Caenorhabditis elegans: one gene and its partners. The protein of the gene in region 3 interacts with the protein of the main gene of each other region in a pairwise test. Each region holds a gene or a part of one and is shown on either strand. Other genes may lie near its edges.

Region 1 (6,868 bases), 6.5 Mb from region 3:
GAACAAATGTTTGTCGTTTCGAGACCGGACGCCTTAGTTTGGTGTAAAAATCGTAAGGTTTTGCGTCTCGGTAATATATTTCAGGTAATTTTCCCCTCTAAAGTTATTGATATTATAAAAATTTTCAGCATCTGATACATCAATGGATTGTCACATGGAATCTATCGGAAGTCGTCGCCGTGACAGTTTAATCGAACAATTCCGCGATTTTTTGAACCGATCAATGGATTTTAGTGTCAAGATTGATGATCCATTTGAAAAAGAAATGTATTAAAATTATATCGTTTTCTTGTTGATTTTTGTAATTTTATATGTTGAAATTGTAATTTTTTGTTTCTGTAAATAAATGTACTTATATTGATTCGAAAATTTTAGATTTAACAGTTTTAGTTTCACTTCCGTATTTAGAAACATGGATTTTTGAATCGAGACTTTGGAGAACGATAGAAGCAATAAAATATTATAAAACACAACACACATGGAATATTCGTTTAAACAGAACGAGAGATTCAACAATTAAAGTCAAACAACAATGGCATTATTTTATTGCTAACTAAAAAGAGATAATTGAGAATTGTTATCTTAGATATGAAACGCTAGGATATACTAACACACAGAAACTAAATTTGATGTTTGAAAGCGAAGGAGATTTAGATTTTTCGAGAAATTTTCTTAAAATTTCGCACAAGCTGATTTGGAATACTGGAAGGTTAAGGGAAATATTTGAAGATTGAACGGTTTTAGAAGGAAAATGCATATATAATATTGATGGCGGCTTTACCATCGAGAGCCTCGATCATCTCGATTGCCACGATATGACGAACGGGAATGATGATTGGAAGACGAAGAATTATATTCGGAACGACGAGAAGATCCTTCAGTTGTTTCAGAATTGTTGTTGTAGTTATTTCGACTAACAAATGGAGAATTGAAACGATTCGATGATGAATGTCCCCGTTGGTTTCGTTGATGGAATGAACGATTGCTGTAGTTACGAGGGTTACTGTAGTCATTTCGAGACCATCTTTCATCGTAGTTTCTGTTGGAAGAACGTTCACGTGATGTCGATCTTCTTGAGCTACTGAAATTAGAAATTATATATTGTAATGATGGTTAAAACTGATCTGATTTTGAATTTAACTGCTTAAAAATTAAAACGTTTATAATTTTTTAATGATTTTTTTTCCATATCTTACTATCGTAATAAATATAAATGAAAATTAAATTAAATTAAAGATGGGCTAATTATTTTTAAATTCCCTGGCTGAACAAATGTTTTTCAGTATAAAAAATATTTAATATGAAGATGAGTTTTTCAATTTTTAGGCCAAAATAAATTCACTAAAACTTCAAAACTGACTTAAAAACAGTTTCACCGTTATAAATAATTTTTTCGCGGAAAACGAGCTGAAAACGTTAAACTAGGCAATTCATTAACGCGAGAATTTGAAAATAATTAGCCCATCTTTTTTTAATTTTGCAAAATTGATAGGAAACATCAAAAGTTGTTTTTTTTTAATTTTCAGATATTTCGTAAAAACTCACACATTTTCATTATATTTATTCTCCAAAACGTTTGTCGCACTGAGAATTCGAGTTGGAAGCAGTGATGCAATTGGCGGATTCATTGGATCTGGAGATGTAGCTGGTGGTGGAACAATTGGCTCATATGGTGAGAAGATTGATGGAATTGGAATTGATGGTAGAGTACTGAAAATAATAAAATAATATGGAGTACTGAATCTTTCCAAAAACGGGCAATTTTCAAAAAATTTCAAAAAACTTTCAAAAGGAATTAATATGTAACCTTACGGGAGAAAAATATTAATCTAAACTATTTACGTAAGAAAAAAACATCAAAACGAAATATTCAAAAAGGTTCAATTTCATCAGTTCTTATTTTTAATCATTTCACTCATCTGTTCGATTATCATTTTTCAATAAATCGAACTGTAATAGTGAGTTTATTTTTTTCGTCTATCGTTTCCGTTGAAGAACAATTTCCGCACACTTCCAGGCACGTGTGTAGTAGTTCAAAAATGTGTGTCACAAAGTGTAAGCAGAAGAAGAAAATGAAATCGGCGAAGAAGAATCTATCGACTCCTGGTACTGGTGGAAGTGTTAATCCCGAAATGAAGTCAATTTCACATTCGACAACAGCTCAATCGGGAGAGAAGGGAGCAAGCAAAATGGCAAAAGTTCCGTCCAAGGAGGTAAGAGAGGGATGGAAATATTATTAGAAGGGCGCAGATAAAAGTGGTGTTTGGCGGCGAAACCGTAAATTTAAAAAAAAATTCAGTTAGTTTCGCCAATTCTCAAGAGTTTTCAGGCATTTATTATTGGAAAATGACTTTTTTCAGAAGAGCAAGGGACCAAGGCAAAGTGATCGTGATGCAAAGGATGAACACAACGAGGCGGTGTCTCAACTCAAGAAGATTGCCGAAAAAGCTTCAGAAATGTCACATGGACCATCTGTAGCTCCACCAAGAAAACTGTAAGCACAATAATAACTAATTTCCCAATCATTCTCATTACAGTGACGCGAAACGCACTGTGACCGGAATGAAGGAAAGCAAAGATCCCGAGTATGTGACGCTGGATGACGATTTTCCGAAATTCGAGAAAGCAATACTGAAGGGCAACTCTAAAGAGGTGAGGAGTATTTATTTTTAGACTAATCTAAATATTTTCTTATTTTCCCAGGCTACGGAAACTCGAAAACTTGAGATAACGCAACAATTGTCTGTTGATGAAAAGAAGATTGCAGGAAGCAGCGAGAAAACTACTTAAAAACGAATAAAGCTTAATCTATGCAATTTTTACCTGTTATTTTCCTCTTTCGGTTGCTCTTCCTCTGTTTCTTCTTTAACTGGAATCTCATTTATTTCCATTGTAACATCATTCATAAGCACGTCTTCCACATCAATGATCTCTGGCTTTATTCTGACGATCTGCGACAGTTTTTGAGCAACTTCCGTATTGAATTGATGACATATGTATATGACGTCTTGCGGGAAATCATCGGTTCCACCAGTTTCGGAAACTTCTCCCGTAGCCACCGACGCTGCTTCTTCATGTTCTGAATCAGAATCGGACGACGAAGATCGGTTCGCATTGTATTGAGGAGCACGGCGAGTTTTCTGAAAATGTGTTTTGTAAGAATTGAAAAATTAAATTTCAATTAAAAAAAAATTTGGATGTCACTCTTGGTCGTGATGACTCCCGTAGATAATTTTTCTAAAAACTTACGTTAACGTCTCTCACTCGAACATCTGTGTCAAACGAGCGATCGACAGGAGCGCGGTTAACAGAATCCGACTTCTCCTGAATCTCATAATTACCCAGAAAACTTTAATAATTCAACAAACCCCAACTACAGTCTTATTCTCAATTGCTTCTAATCGAGACCACGGAAAGCATTTATTGATCATCTCGTTTATCATAGCATTTCGACGGCGACGAACTTGTTGAAATGTTGCATTTTTGTACACTGCCATGCTCGCTTTGTGTGTCTGGAATTCTTTGATTTTTTTTGTCAATTTCCTAGCTTTATTATAAATTAAATAAATAAAACTATACATCTTTCATATGAGAACTCAAATCACACTGTCTTCTGAATCCTTTTTCACATTCTCCAACTGGACATGTTAGCGGTGGAAGACTCGTCGTGTGCAGCTTCTCGATATGCTCTCGGCGCATATTTTTTCGAACTTCAGCACCAGTCATGCAAAGTTGACAAGCAAGATCCGAATTTGGGAGATCTGGATACGATCGATCCATCTGAAACTCATTTTTTCTTAATTTAAAAACTGCAACCTAGTTAGGATAAATGTAGATACAGGGTCAAAACTTATAATTTCAGTATGATAATCAATTAATTCAAATTAAAAATTAATATAACAGTGTGGGGGAAATGTTCATTCGATCTGAATATGATATTTATTTTTGAGAAAAAAACTCGAAAATTATCTCAAAAAGTGCAGGAAAGTCACCGTCAGGGCTGTAGATTTTTCGTTTTTTGTTTCGAAAAAAATAAGAATAATTCTTTTTTTTTCCTTCTCGAATTCAGATTTGCCTCAAAATGAAATATCATATTCCTTTTTTAAATTTGTTTTTGTAGATTTGCTGCACAGCCTTGTTCTCAATTTAATTTGTTTTCCTGTACATACCGCAGTTTTCAGCAAATCATCATAATCTTCTGGTGCTACATCAGCTGCCATGTGGGAACGAGTCACGTGTCCTTTTCGGAGAACTGTAAGATAAAAACTAAATTCGAATTTAGAGATTTCAAAAACTCACTAAAATCATAAACTATTTCTTCATTACAAACCGCACATTTCACTTTTGCAGCATCTCGTCTCTCTGGAACATTTGGATCAAACCATCCAATTAGTTTATCAATCGCTGACATTTCATCGTAATTTGCATTTTTTCCAGCTTTCTCTTGATTTTGAGCTGCTGTCATTGACTCGTTTCTTTTCTTCCTCGGTTTCTTTGTTTTATCAATAGATATATTATGTTCACTGGTTGTTGAATCAACTATAGCTTGAGCTGAACTTGATGAAGCTGGCTGAGCTGATGTTGAGGAGGCGTTGGGGCAGAGTGAGCTGAATATATCATTTTTAAAACGAGGGCTTTGTCGGAATCTAGGCATTGTTAAAATTGTATTTAGTGAATAAATACCTCTCAGAATTATTTGTTCTTCTATTTAAAAATGCAAATGGTGAAGTCGTAGAAGTTCCCGATTTTGCCTTTTTTGGCACTGGAGGAGATGTTGGAGTTACGACGGAACTTCTTTTATTCTTTGCACTATCAGTAGGAGTCTTTTTAACAGGTGAAGTCGGTGACACTGATCTCGGATCTCTTCCCCATCGCTTCTCAAGCACAGTTTCCATATCGTCAGTCGCTAGGGCGTATGCGTCTTCCACAACAACCGATATCATTTTGTCAATGTATGGGTTTACTGTCTTCTGAAGAAAAAAAACAATATTTTTAATTGTAGAAAATCGTCTCAAAACCTGAAAAGAGCGCTTGTGTCCGTGTTTCGAGCAATGAGCATTGAGCTCCTGTTGTGTGTAGAATCCCATATCACATGTGCTCTCTCCGCATGCATATCTCCTAAAATTATATATGAATTTAATAATAGAAATAACATTTAAAATCCTCACTTGTACTTAAAATGTTTGTAGAAGTGTGCGCCTTCCTCTTTCAGCGTTTCGCAGCACAATGGACACACTAATTGGTTCATATCTTAAAAATACGATTTCATAATTTAATCTCTGGCTGTGATTCAGATGATTGATCGGAAAAAGCGTATTAACTTGAATGATATGATTTGAATGATATTATCCAGCTTGAATGAGTAAAATTTATGTCTTCAGGAGTTTTTTCTCCATGTGGATCCACAAAGAAGACAAAATTAAATACCTTGTATGCTCACATTTTAAAAAAAGTAACAACTTTAGAAAAGTATTACCAGAGCCTTACCAATTGTGTTCTTGCCCATGGAAACTGATTAGAAAAACGAATGCGGGATAAAAATTAAGCCGTCAGAATTCACAAGTTCACTGCAAGAAGATGGGTGTGATATCACTTTACTCAATAAATATTTAAAGTGGAAACAATAAATGAAACTCTGTGACTGAGATACGTGAAGCGTTCACAAACTGGAAGAGGAATAATCGGGATAGAGAAAAATGAATAAAGAATTAAATTAGAGAAATTCAAATTGTATTTTTAATGAAACAATTGGGACTTGAGGAGTTGCTTAAGCTCTCGTTCCGTTCTTTCCTTCCTCCTCTTCGTTGTCTTCGAGATCTGGCATATCTGAAAATTTTTTATAATAAATAACATTTTAATACTACATTGGTTTTCTATCATTAACGAATTACTAATAGTAAGCAAAAAGGATATTATTGCACTTAATACTTACCGTCATCTTCCTCATCATCCTCAAGACCTCCGAAGTCTGCTCCGCCAGCTCCTCCCATCTGGGACATGTACTGGTTCAAATCGAATCCGTTCGCCATTCCACCGCCAATTCCGGCTCCGGCATCCTCAGCCTCATCATCCTCGTCTTCATCCTTCCATTTTCCAAAGTCAACCTTCAACCAATGGACCTTTCCCTTGTTTTGAAGAAGTCTTGGCCACCAGGCTGGGGTCTTCTTCTGAACTGTGATCTCAACGACGCGGGTTGAAGATCCAGTGTGCTTTACGGATGCAGGATCGATTTCGTCGAAGAATTCGAGAGTTGCTTCGTACTTGTCAGTTTTGCTGCTTCCTCTGAAAATTTACGAATTACGACTCATTCTATGTACCATCATGAACATTCTGTGAATATTTAGGAAGCAAGAAATATGCTTCATATCGTATTTAAACATTTAAAATAGAAATCGAAATATTAATCCGAAACGTACTGGAAGTGAAGCTTGTTTCCCTCTCCTTTCAGTTCCTCGATTTTCGCCTCATCAACCTCGATGGTCAGATAGACAAGTGATTCACGCTGGGCCCAGAGAACTGTTGGTTGCTTAGCCATGGTTTTTGCCTGTAATTCGAAAAGAGAACTAGACGGATACGAACAATAATCAATAAAATTCAAGGAAGGTGCACGACATATAAATAAGCGCACAGTTGAAATTAGCATGATTATGCAAATTGACGAAAATAAAGCCATCAGATGAAAATGTTTTCATATCACGGCAATAACAAGCAAGAATTGTCCACTTAATTTCTTTTTTCGATTGATTTTTCTCTTACAACCTTTTTCTCCTAAATACAAGGACTATTGGCCAAAATCGATATATTTTAAGTGCGAATGGCATTGAATATAAACGTAAATGGATTAGAAATATAAAGTCGCGAATGTTCT
Region 2 (4,091 bases), on a different chromosome or scaffold from region 3:
TGCAGTAGTGTGTTGAAACAACAACAAGCAATCACTTTGAATGATTTGGAGTTTTGCAACATTCATGGAGTTGTATGTACCAATATTATGTCGAGAGGAATCGATGTGTCTTCTGTGAAACAGGTAAGTTTACATATATATTAAATTGATAAAAACATGGCTACTATTGACCCAAATATTTTTTATCTTAAGTCACATATTTCAGACAATAATCATGGAAATGTCCACCGATTTTCCGAGCTACATGCATAGAATCGGACGAGTTGGTCGCGATGGATGTGGTGGAAGAGCTACTGTCCTCATCGATGAGCATCATTTATTTGGCGGACCAATGTCGAATATTATCGAGCAGCTGTGTTCTTTTATGCTCGAATGCGAGGAAACGCTTCCCAATTGGCTTGTAGAATGGCTGAAGTTGCGTCAATCACTTTAATTGAATCACATATCAATTTCCTATTTTGTGCCGGTTTTTATCGCTTTTCTATGTATCTGATCCTGTATTTTATATTCATTGAACTAATCGAACTCGTAAATAGGTTTTAAAATTTTTTTATTATAAAACAAGAAAGGCTATCCAGCATCAAAATGGATGCTCAATAAATTAATAAAACAATCAATTAACCCGAGAGAATAGGAGAGACTTGAATGCGGGGGAATTGTGATGGAGTGGGGGCGATTGTATGAAGCGAGTTGAAAAGCTGTGCACGATTTGCTTAGAGCTCATCGTGTCCTTCCTCCTCTTCCTTCTCCTCCTCATCATCATCCTTCTTGGCCTCCTTCTCCTCCTCGGCCTTCTTGCGAGCCTCCTCCTCAGCCTTGCGGGTTTCTTCGTCGGCCTTCTCCTTCTTTTCCTTCTCAACAGTCTTCAATTTGTCAAAAGTCTCGGCAGCATGGGCCTCGGCCTCCTCAACAGAGTCGGTGATGATAATGTTGTCAAAGATCGTTCCTGACTTGACCTGAAAAAATAAAGTTTGAGTTTCATTTTTGAAAAATAGAATAAAAGTTTCTTACCTGCCACAAATCGAATCCGATGGCTCCCCAGCTTTCATAAGAGTAGAGTTCATCATCAGGAGTGTACTCTGGGTTCTCAATCTCTGGATGGATCCACTTGCCCTTGTAGGCTGGGTTCTTGATCTGCTTTGGCTTCCACTCACCCTTGTATTCTGGGTTGTCGATCATTGGTGGCTCCCATTCTCCGTCCATCTCGTCATCCCAGTCTTCTGGCTTCTTGGCATCTGGATCTGGGATGTGCTCTGGCTTCTCCCAATCTTCTGGCTTGGCATCCTCGGCATCATCGATGTACTCACGCTCATCCCAGTCCTCTGGCTTCTTTGCATCTGGATCCTTGATCTTCTTGGCTGGAAGAAGATCCCAGTCCTCCTCGAGGCTTCCAGTTTGGGCGCTTTCTCCGTCGATCTTGACTTCGTAGGTATTGTCGGAGTTGAGGATGAGAGTGTAGAGATGAGTGAGTTCGTCGCTCTTGCAGGTGATTTCCTTCTTGATGAGCTTGTTCTCTCCCTTGTAGTTAAGGATAACGTGGACACGGCGAGTTGGTCCGCAGATGTCTGGGCCGAACATGACGTTGTATGGGGTCTCTCCGTGGAAATCTCCCAAGTCAGCATCAGCTCTCATGACCTGGAAAATAAATATTGTTTTAATTGAGAAACATGTTTTGATACTAACAAACTAATGCGAAAAAATTATCACATCAAGAAATTTAAAATACTAACCTTAACGTATCCACCTCCACAGTCGATTCCTTGCTCGTGCTTGACGGTGTATTGGATCACAAGAGTCTTTCCTTTGTTGGAGAAGTCCTTGTCGAACTTGGCGGCACGGGAGTAGAACTTGGCATCTTGGCTGGTCTGGATTCCTTGGTCGCGGGACTCAACATCGAAGAACTTTCCAGCTGAGAGCTTGAAGGCTCCAAAGTCATCCTTGTGCTTGGATTGAACCCATCGCTTCTCCCATGAGGCGTCGTTGAACTCCTCTTTGAAGTAGACTTCAGCCGAAACGACGGCAACGATTGCTAACAGGCAGAGTGATTTCATTTCGTTTTTCGATAAAACGACACCAAGTTGAATCTGAAATTAAAAAGTAAATATAACAATTAAACATATGAATCGGAAAAAGAAGAGATAAATTGAATGAGAATATACCAAAGAATAAAATTCGAGAATTTCAGAGAAGAAAGACTAGAAATGAAACCGAACAAGAGCAAAACTGAAACTGATGATGTTGAACTGAGCTCGTCTGCTACGACAATGGAGTAAGTCGACGTGTGTCTTGCGTGGCTGACACGGCTCGAGGTGCCGCGTATCTATTGGTCCACGTCAGCGACTGGCCAATCGGCGGTCGCCACACATTGAGAATAGGCGGAGCGTGTCTGATGAGAGGCCACGTTGCGTGTCGGCCTCGCACTGCGAAGAGAGCGAGAGAGTGAGTGAGTTGAAGAGATGCAGACGGAGAGCATTTTGGGATAAGGAAATAATGCCCTTGCGGGTGGACAGCAGTCCAGCAGAGGGCTTTTTGATATTATCGCAATTGGGAATCTGATTGAAAAGAACAGAAACAGCTGAGATCAGTATTCTTTAAGGGGTTTAGAACTTTCCATGCTTATTTTGCACTAAATTTCTAGACTTTCGGATTTAAAAATTGGATCACACAGCCAGAATGTAGTAGAATGTATTTATCAACCAATTTCTGAATGAAACCAACGATAAAAACACATTATCGCGTTTATGTGGACATGACGAATCGAAAAATCGCCCTTGACACAGTTATCCATTTTTTGCTTCGTTTTGCAAAACCAGTTTCACAAAAGACGCATGACAAAAATGATGAACCATCGGAAAAAGATGGAAACTACATTTTAAACGACCGTTTGTGTAAATAAAACAATGAAAATGGCGAAAATGAGAGACAAGAAGACTGAAAAAGGCTGAAACGGATGAATAAAATTTGAATGGCGCTTTGGCGCCATCGTTTGGTGTTTGCGTAAATTGCGTACTCTGGAGAAAATTGTGGTTGACCGTATCACTCGTGAGCCAAAGCTGAAATTTGAGCATAATTGAATAAATGCACATATTTTTCAAAGTGGTGATATTTTTCTGGTGTTTCCTGGATTGTTTCTGAAATATCATTTCCAGATTCGAAATTAGTACTGCTCATTATAAAAGTGGTGCTTCAATTCTCTTATCAAGTCCTGGTGGACTCCAGGAGTACAGCACTCGTTATCATCTAAATTATAAAATTGATAAATTCTATATGAAAACATAGTATGAAGAATAATGTGAATATTTTATTAGCTGGCCAGTACAAACGAGTTCCTCTTTACCAAAAGGTACATTGTAAACAATTCGGCATTGAGAACAAACAATAAGTGCATTTTCAAATATTTATTCGGTCCTGGTCAAGAGAAAGATCGGCGACGAGAAGTACCTCGTTAGCCACGCGTCATTTCCACAATTTTTTCACATTCGCATGCTACTCGGGCTCGGTTCACCTGAACATCTAGAATTATAATTTTTTCAGGAATATTTTTAGACCTCTGAACTCCAGGAAACTGCATTTCGAACAAAAAGTCTGACACGATCACAAGTTGACGTAATATAAGGAAAGGTGTAGAGCATTGCAAAATGATTTCGATCTTGCCTGAAATTTATCACGAAATGATATTGTAATTTACCGTACTCCTTACTATAGCTTTAAATTATTCAAATGCCTACCTGCCTGCCTGGAAGCAAAACTTCAAGAGACCTACGTCTACTGTTAAGTTCAATGCAAGCCACACCTGCCTTCTAGGCACATAGGTAGGCACTTATCAATATTGAGGTAGTCCTACTTCTCACAGTGTCTACAGTATGACATCGGCAAGAAATCGGTTTTTGATTATTTAAAAAATCTAACTAAATCCAAAAAATAAAATGAAACTTACACTGGTTTCTTGGTAATTTCTGGGCAAAACTCGTTGGTTGAGATTCCTGAATACTTTTGAAGCCTACTCAACTCGTAGTCCATATGCTTCATGTTTCTCTCAATAGTTGCATTGTTCCACACAAATACAGTTTCGATTTTGATCTCCCCGCCTG
Region 3 (5,679 bases):
GAGACTTTAATTTTCTTTAAAAATACACAAACTTGGGGATTTTTAGGGCTACAAGAAGTTTTGCATTCATTTTCCACATAATATTGCCGGCAAAAAACTCTAAAAATTAATTAGAATTTGAAGAAATCCTAAAAACACATCGATTTTTCAGGGGGTTCTGGCCTTCCTCATTGCATTTTTTGCGCTCCATTGACAATCGCCCGACGGGCAACGCATGGGAAAGTGTCGTGTACTCCACACGGATAAATACATTTAGTTTTACTATCGAGCCGCGACGCGACACGCAACGCGCCGTAAATCTACCCCAGATATGGCTGAGCCAAAATGGCTTAGTTCGGCAAAAACTCTTCCATTTCAATTTATGAGGGAAGCCAGAAATCCTTGTTTTTTTTTTGAAAAAAATCCACGATTCTGTGTATTTTGACGTGACGGTGTACTACGTACCGAGCATTTTATTCGACGAGACACTCACTGAAAAAAAACCCAATTTTTAAAAATTTTTCTCATTTCAAAATGCAATATTCGTAATAAAAATCAATATTTATTTGAAAATTTAAATCAACAGCGAGAATTGCAAGAAGCACGAAAAAGAAGAAAATATTAATTTTTTTTGCGTGCGTTTCGGTGCAGTTTTTCGGGTTTTTATACCCGGGAGATGAGGGTACACTTGTTGCAAAACTCGGGGATCGAACATTAAAAAAAAATTAAAAATGTATATAATATTTTATTCTTCTTCATCAGCGGGCACCGTCAGAAATTCAATGTAGCTTGCGTTTCCCTCGCCGTGATCGATTGAAAATTGACAGGAGAGGACGCCACGCTCGTCGACACGGAGGATGAGCTGGAAAAAACTTAAATTGTAAAGTTTGCATCAAAAAATTCGAGACATTTTTTTTTAGAAAATTGAAAAAAAAATTTCGAAGAAAAACATTTTTTCTAATTTTTTCTCGATTTTTGAAACTAAAATTTGATTTGGAGCATAACGTTTTAATTTATTTTTCGATTTTTTTGGCCAATTTTGGAGTTTTTGGGGTTTTTTTTCGGGGAAAAAAACGGAAAAATGTTGATATTTTTTGTTGCAAAATTGGAAAAATCGTTAAAAATGCTTTAGACATTTTATTTATTTTTTTCGAAATTTTTTTCTGTTTTTGAAAAAAAAATGAAAATTTTTTTTTTCAAATTTAAAAAAATTTTCAAAAATCGAAATATTTTTCGAAAGGAAAATTAATTTTTTCACAAATAAATTTATTTTTCTAAAAAAATCGGCTCAATTTTTTAAATTAAAAATTATAGTGAAAATAATTTTCACAAATTTTTTCAGATTTTTTTCAAAAAATTTCGAAAAAAATTTTTTTTTTCCCCCAATTTTTTCATATTTTTAATGAATTTTTCCTGGAACCATGATAACTTTAACTAGGAAAAATCTAGCAGATAGGCTAAATTTCTTTCCAGAAACTACCTTTGTAGCCAGTATAAAGGCGGTAGTCATTCGTTGAATAAGCGACAGAAGATAGCTAAATTCAACTTCTTCAAGGCACTTTACACTTTCCATTTGAAGGCTTCGAGACGGTATTGATACCTGAAAGTATAAAAAATTTGGTTTTAATTTTTTAAAAAATATTTTTTCAAAACAATTTTTTTTTTTTTTTTTTGAGTTAAAAAATTAAAATTTTTTTCTTTTTAATTTCCTAAAATTTATTTAATTTTCAATTTGAAAAATCCTACTGTAGTCTCGCCAACATCACCGAAAGTCGTGAAACACAGTGAATTCTTGGTGAATTGAATTCTCACCGTTCGGCTTGTGTCATCGAAGTCCTGAAATAGAGAAAAAAAATTAAAAATTCGTATTTTTTTAATGCAAAAATAAGAATTTTTATTTGAATTTTAGAATTTGCGCGTCAAATCATAAGTATTGGACGTCGATTTTTTTGGGTTTGGGTTGGAAATTCTGCAATTTAATCGATTTTTTTTTATTTTCGAAAAATTGAAACAATAAAAACTACTTTTTAAGCGAAAATCGAATTTTCAAGTAAAATTTTTTTTCCAAAATTGAAAACGGAAAATTTTCGTTTTTAGCTCAAAAAGTCGGAATTTTCGGATTTTTTTTTTGGTTTTTTTTAATTTTGAAAAATTAGAAAATCGGAAAAATATCAAGGTTTTTTCAATCAAAAACGGATTTTTTTTTTGAAAAGTAATGAAAAATTCGAAAAAAAAATTTTTTTCAGAAAATGTTTTAAAATATGAAAAACAGACCAAAAAACACCGATTTTTCTGAACGGAAAACATTTTTTTTCGTTTTTCGACAAAAAAGTATCGAAAAATAAAAATAAAACGTTTTTTTTTTCAAAATTGAAAAACGGAAAATGTTCGTTTTTGGCTCTAAAATTCGGAATTTTCTGGTTTTTTTCGTCTTTTTTTGTTGAAAAATTAGAAAATCGGAAAAACCGAAAAATTTTTTTTCAAAAAAGTCGAAAAAAAGTTTTTTTTCAGAAAATGTTTTAAAATGTGGGAAAAAACCCAAAAACAATAATTTTCTGAAGGGAAACCGATTTTTTTTTTCGTTTTTCGACTAAAAAATTTAAAAAAAAATGGTTTTTTTTTCAAAAAAGCTAATTTTTTCAGAAATTTTTTTTTGGAGTCGAAAAAAACCAAAAAATGTTAATCTGTCAGAACAAAAAGAAATTTTTTTGTTTTTGCGACATTCGAGTAGTTTTTTATTTCATTTTGAAAAAATCCAAAAAAAAATTTTTTTCCAAAAAGTCAAAAAAAAAATTCAGAAAATGTTTTAAAATATGAAAAAAACCGAAAAACACCGATTTTTCTGAAGGGAAACCGATTTTTTTTGTTTTTTCACTAAAAAAGTAAAAAAAAAAGTTTTTTATTTAATTTCAAAAAAAAAACATTTTTTTCGAAAATCCAAAAAAAAAAATTTTTTTTGGAAAATGTCTGGAGTTTAATAAATTTTTTTCGAATGTTTAAAGGTTTCAATGATAAAACCTTGATAATCTCCTTGAGAACTTGAGTTTTAAGCAGATAGGTCGCCAGCACACCAGCGTCATCGAATTCAAAGTCGAGCTCCTAAAAATAGACAAAAAAAAATCTAGGAATTTCGAAAACCCGGCGAACTTGATCTGCCAGCGTTGTTGTAAAATTGCCACGTGCCACCCATCCGTCTGCGTCTTCAACAAGCATTTTCACAGGCTGAAACATTCCCGGATACGAGACTTTTACAGAACTCGACGAGTTTTCCGAAATGCTCAGGAATTCCTGGAATTTTTTTGTTTTTTGCCACTTTTTTGGGCTTTTATGGGCTTTTAAAGGCTCACAGAAATCGATTTAATCGAGATTTTCATCGAAACTATCTCCTCGCGAACTTTAAAACTCGAGAAGAACGCCGGATTGATAAAAACGCTGGCCAGCTGATAGGATCCATCGTCGACTGTGATCTTCATGCCCGCCTCGGAAGCGTGCCACGTTCCTGTCTGGAAAATTGAAAAATTTAGATTTTTTCTCAAAAAAAATGAAATTAATATCGATATTTTCCAACACTAACATCCTTAAAAGCGACGGTTTTGAAGACCTGCGCGAGCTCCTTCACATTTTCTTTTTTCAATTCCATAATTGTGCATTGACCCGTTTCTAATTCCATCATTTTTCCTGAAAAAATTTAAATTTTAACCGGAAAACTGAGAAAAATCGCTGAAAATTAAATATAAATTAAAAAATTAATTCTCGCACCGTTTTCCGAGAGGAGTACACCTGCGGAGTTTTGTAGGCCATCGCACCTCGTCCCTCTCATTTGCGCGGAAATTCAAATTTGAAACCTCCGATTTTCGATCTTTTCACCCTTATTTTACACTGTGGCCAGTGTAAAGTACTTTTTCTTTTTGCGAAAAAGATTTTTCTTTCGAAAGCGAGAGAAGCTCACTGATTGCGTGACACACTCATCCGTCGTATCATTTTTGCTCGAAACTAGTTTACAACTTTTATGTGTGCGTGTGTGTGTGTGCTCTTTTTGGCTCCGGATGAGCTGAGCGGACCACGGAGCTATTATGAAATCCCGCGGTCCCCCATATAAACATGAAAAAAGAGCAATTTTTGGGAGTTTTTGGTGGGAGACGGGGAGGGCAATTTGTTCATACATCAATGCGTTTTTGTGTATTTGCTTTTTTTTTCTTTAGGAAGTTTCGAGATTTTTACGATTTTCCAGGCATTTAGTAGATCCCTAGTGTCCACATTTTCCACGTGGAGTACACGACGCGTGGTCAAATCTGGTGCATTGAATTTTTCGCGCTCCATTGACAATCTCCTGCCGGAAAGGACATTTTCCACGTGGAGTACACGGAACGTGGCCTAGAAAACTTTTCTTGGATCTTCACGGGGTTCTGGCCTTCCTCATTGATTTATTCGCGCTTCATTGATAATCGCCCGCCAGACAACTAAAATCGAGCCGCGACGCGACACGCAACGCGCCGTAAATCTACCGCAGATATGGCCTGAGAGACGCAGGGGTTTTTTTGAAGAAGGATATTTGATGGGACAATGGGAAGAAAAAAGGGATTTACAACTTGAAAATTCAAATTTTGCGCGTCAAATCTGGTGCATTGAATTTTTCGCGCTCCATTGACAATCGCCTGCCGGACAACGCGTGGTAAAGTCGTGTACTCCACACGGACAAATTCATTTAGTTTTACAACTAAAATCGAGCCGCGACACGGAACGCGCCGTAAATCTACTCCAGATATGGCTGAGCCAAAATGGCCTAGTTCGGCAAACTCTTCCATTTCATTTTATGAGGGAAGCCAGAAATCCGTAGTTTTTCTCTAGAATTTTTCTAATTCTATTTTTGTCATGCTAGTTCTTTTCCTCAAATTTGGTAAAATTTGTACTTTTTTACTTGTACTTGAGAATTTGTACTTCAGAAAAATAAGGCAAAAACCGCTTGTCCACGGGGAGTACACGACACGTGGCCTAGAAAACTCAGCGCGGTATTTCAAATTAAATTTCATGCCTTTTTCTGTGTTTTCTGTTATTTTATTACGCTAACAAAAAATCCTGAGAATGCGTATTGGGCAACATATTTGACGCACAAAATATCTCGTAGCGAAAACAAAACTACAGTAACCCTTTAAATTACTACTGTAGTGCGTGTGTCGATTTACGGGCTCGATCAATGATAAATGAATTCATTTCGAAAATCGAGATCCCGTAAATCGACACTACAAATGTCATTTAAAGAATCACTGTAGTTTGCTTTTCGCAACGAGATATTTTGCGCGTCAAATATGTTGTGCAGTACGCATTCTCAGAATTTTTTGTTCCCGTAATATTCTTGCTCCGCATTCAAATTTGAGCCGAGAGAGAAGAAAATCTTGTTTTTTTTTTCGAAATTTCCACGACTCCGCCTCCTGTGTGTGTGTGCATTTTTTGGTTCGTTAGCGCTTGAGGCTATGGGCTCTGTCGAGCTCATTTTTCTGTTTTTTTTTCGTGCTCCCCTTCCTATTTTGGCTCGCGGAGCTCAGCTATAAAGCGAGAAAATTGGTCTATAAAATTTTGATGAAATTGAATTTTTTAATTGCTCTGTAACTGAAAAAATTATTAAATAAAAATTTAATTCCCGCTATAATTTTTTGGTATGCGCCTTTAAATTGTGAACTACAGTAGGTTCAGACATTTTTT

The links. The genes of interacting proteins can lie anywhere in the genome.
Region 1: the proteins of mrt-2 (region 3) and ztf-8 interact in a two-hybrid assay, tested with the Caenorhabditis elegans proteins (2 studies listed by BioGRID).
Region 2: the proteins of mrt-2 (region 3) and crt-1 interact in a two-hybrid assay, tested with the Caenorhabditis elegans proteins (2 studies listed by BioGRID).

The regions. Positions count from the first base shown.
Region 1 is NC_003281.10:5,268,222-5,275,089, forward strand, and holds ztf-8 (C2H2-type domain-containing protein), read right to left. Parts: upstream 5,251-6,868; 5' UTR 5,249-5,250; coding exon 5,169-5,248; intron 5,119-5,168; coding exon 5,019-5,118; intron 4,971-5,018; coding exon 4,684-4,970; intron 4,608-4,683; coding exon 4,300-4,607; intron 4,253-4,299; coding exon 4,170-4,252; intron 3,781-4,169; coding exon 3,580-3,780; intron 3,513-3,579; coding exon 3,369-3,512; intron 3,325-3,368; coding exon 3,250-3,324; intron 3,141-3,249; coding exon 2,824-3,140; intron 2,815-2,823; exon of another isoform or gene 2,791-2,814; coding exon of another isoform or gene 2,704-2,790; intron 2,653-2,703; coding exon of another isoform or gene 2,538-2,652; intron 2,495-2,537; coding exon of another isoform or gene 2,361-2,494; intron 2,214-2,360; coding exon of another isoform or gene 2,040-2,213; exon of another isoform or gene 2,018-2,039; intron 1,959-2,017; exon of another isoform or gene 1,905-1,958; intron 1,711-1,904; coding exon 1,546-1,710; intron 1,082-1,545; coding exon 778-1,081; 3' UTR 534-777; downstream 1-533. Other genes in the region: ZC395.5 (Ovule protein), read left to right, coding at 129-274; ZC395.4 (uncharacterized protein), read left to right, coding at 2,040-2,213, 2,361-2,494, 2,538-2,652, 2,704-2,790; Co-chaperone protein daf-41, read right to left, coding at 5,768-5,826, 5,933-6,282, 6,417-6,535.
Region 2 is NC_003283.11:6,098,459-6,102,549, forward strand, and holds crt-1 (Calreticulin), read right to left. Parts: upstream 2,085-4,091; 5' UTR 2,052-2,084; coding exon 1,731-2,051; intron 1,636-1,730; coding exon 1,012-1,635; intron 957-1,011; coding exon 714-956; 3' UTR 534-713; downstream 1-533. Other genes in the region: smut-1 (Synthetic MUTator), read left to right, coding at 1-123, 206-433; Y38A10A.11 (DNA-directed DNA polymerase), read right to left, coding at 3,446-3,505, 3,549-3,654, 3,938-4,029. UniProt on the Caenorhabditis elegans protein: Molecular calcium-binding chaperone promoting folding, oligomeric assembly and quality control in the endoplasmic reticulum (ER) via the calreticulin/calnexin cycle.
Region 3 is NC_003281.10:11,745,022-11,750,700, reverse strand, and holds mrt-2 (Cell cycle checkpoint protein RAD1 homolog mrt-2), read right to left. Parts: upstream 3,936-5,679; 5' UTR 3,739-3,935; intron 3,658-3,738; 5' UTR 3,653-3,657; coding exon 3,554-3,652; intron 3,483-3,553; coding exon 3,327-3,482; intron 3,268-3,326; coding exon 3,127-3,267; intron 3,079-3,126; coding exon 2,998-3,078; intron 1,816-2,997; coding exon 1,726-1,815; intron 1,580-1,725; coding exon 1,460-1,579; intron 842-1,459; coding exon 725-841; 3' UTR 526-724; downstream 1-525. UniProt on the Caenorhabditis elegans protein: May be a component of the 9-1-1 cell-cycle checkpoint response complex that plays a major role in DNA repair. Promotes DNA double strand break-induced cell cycle arrest and apoptosis, thereby playing a role in genome stability.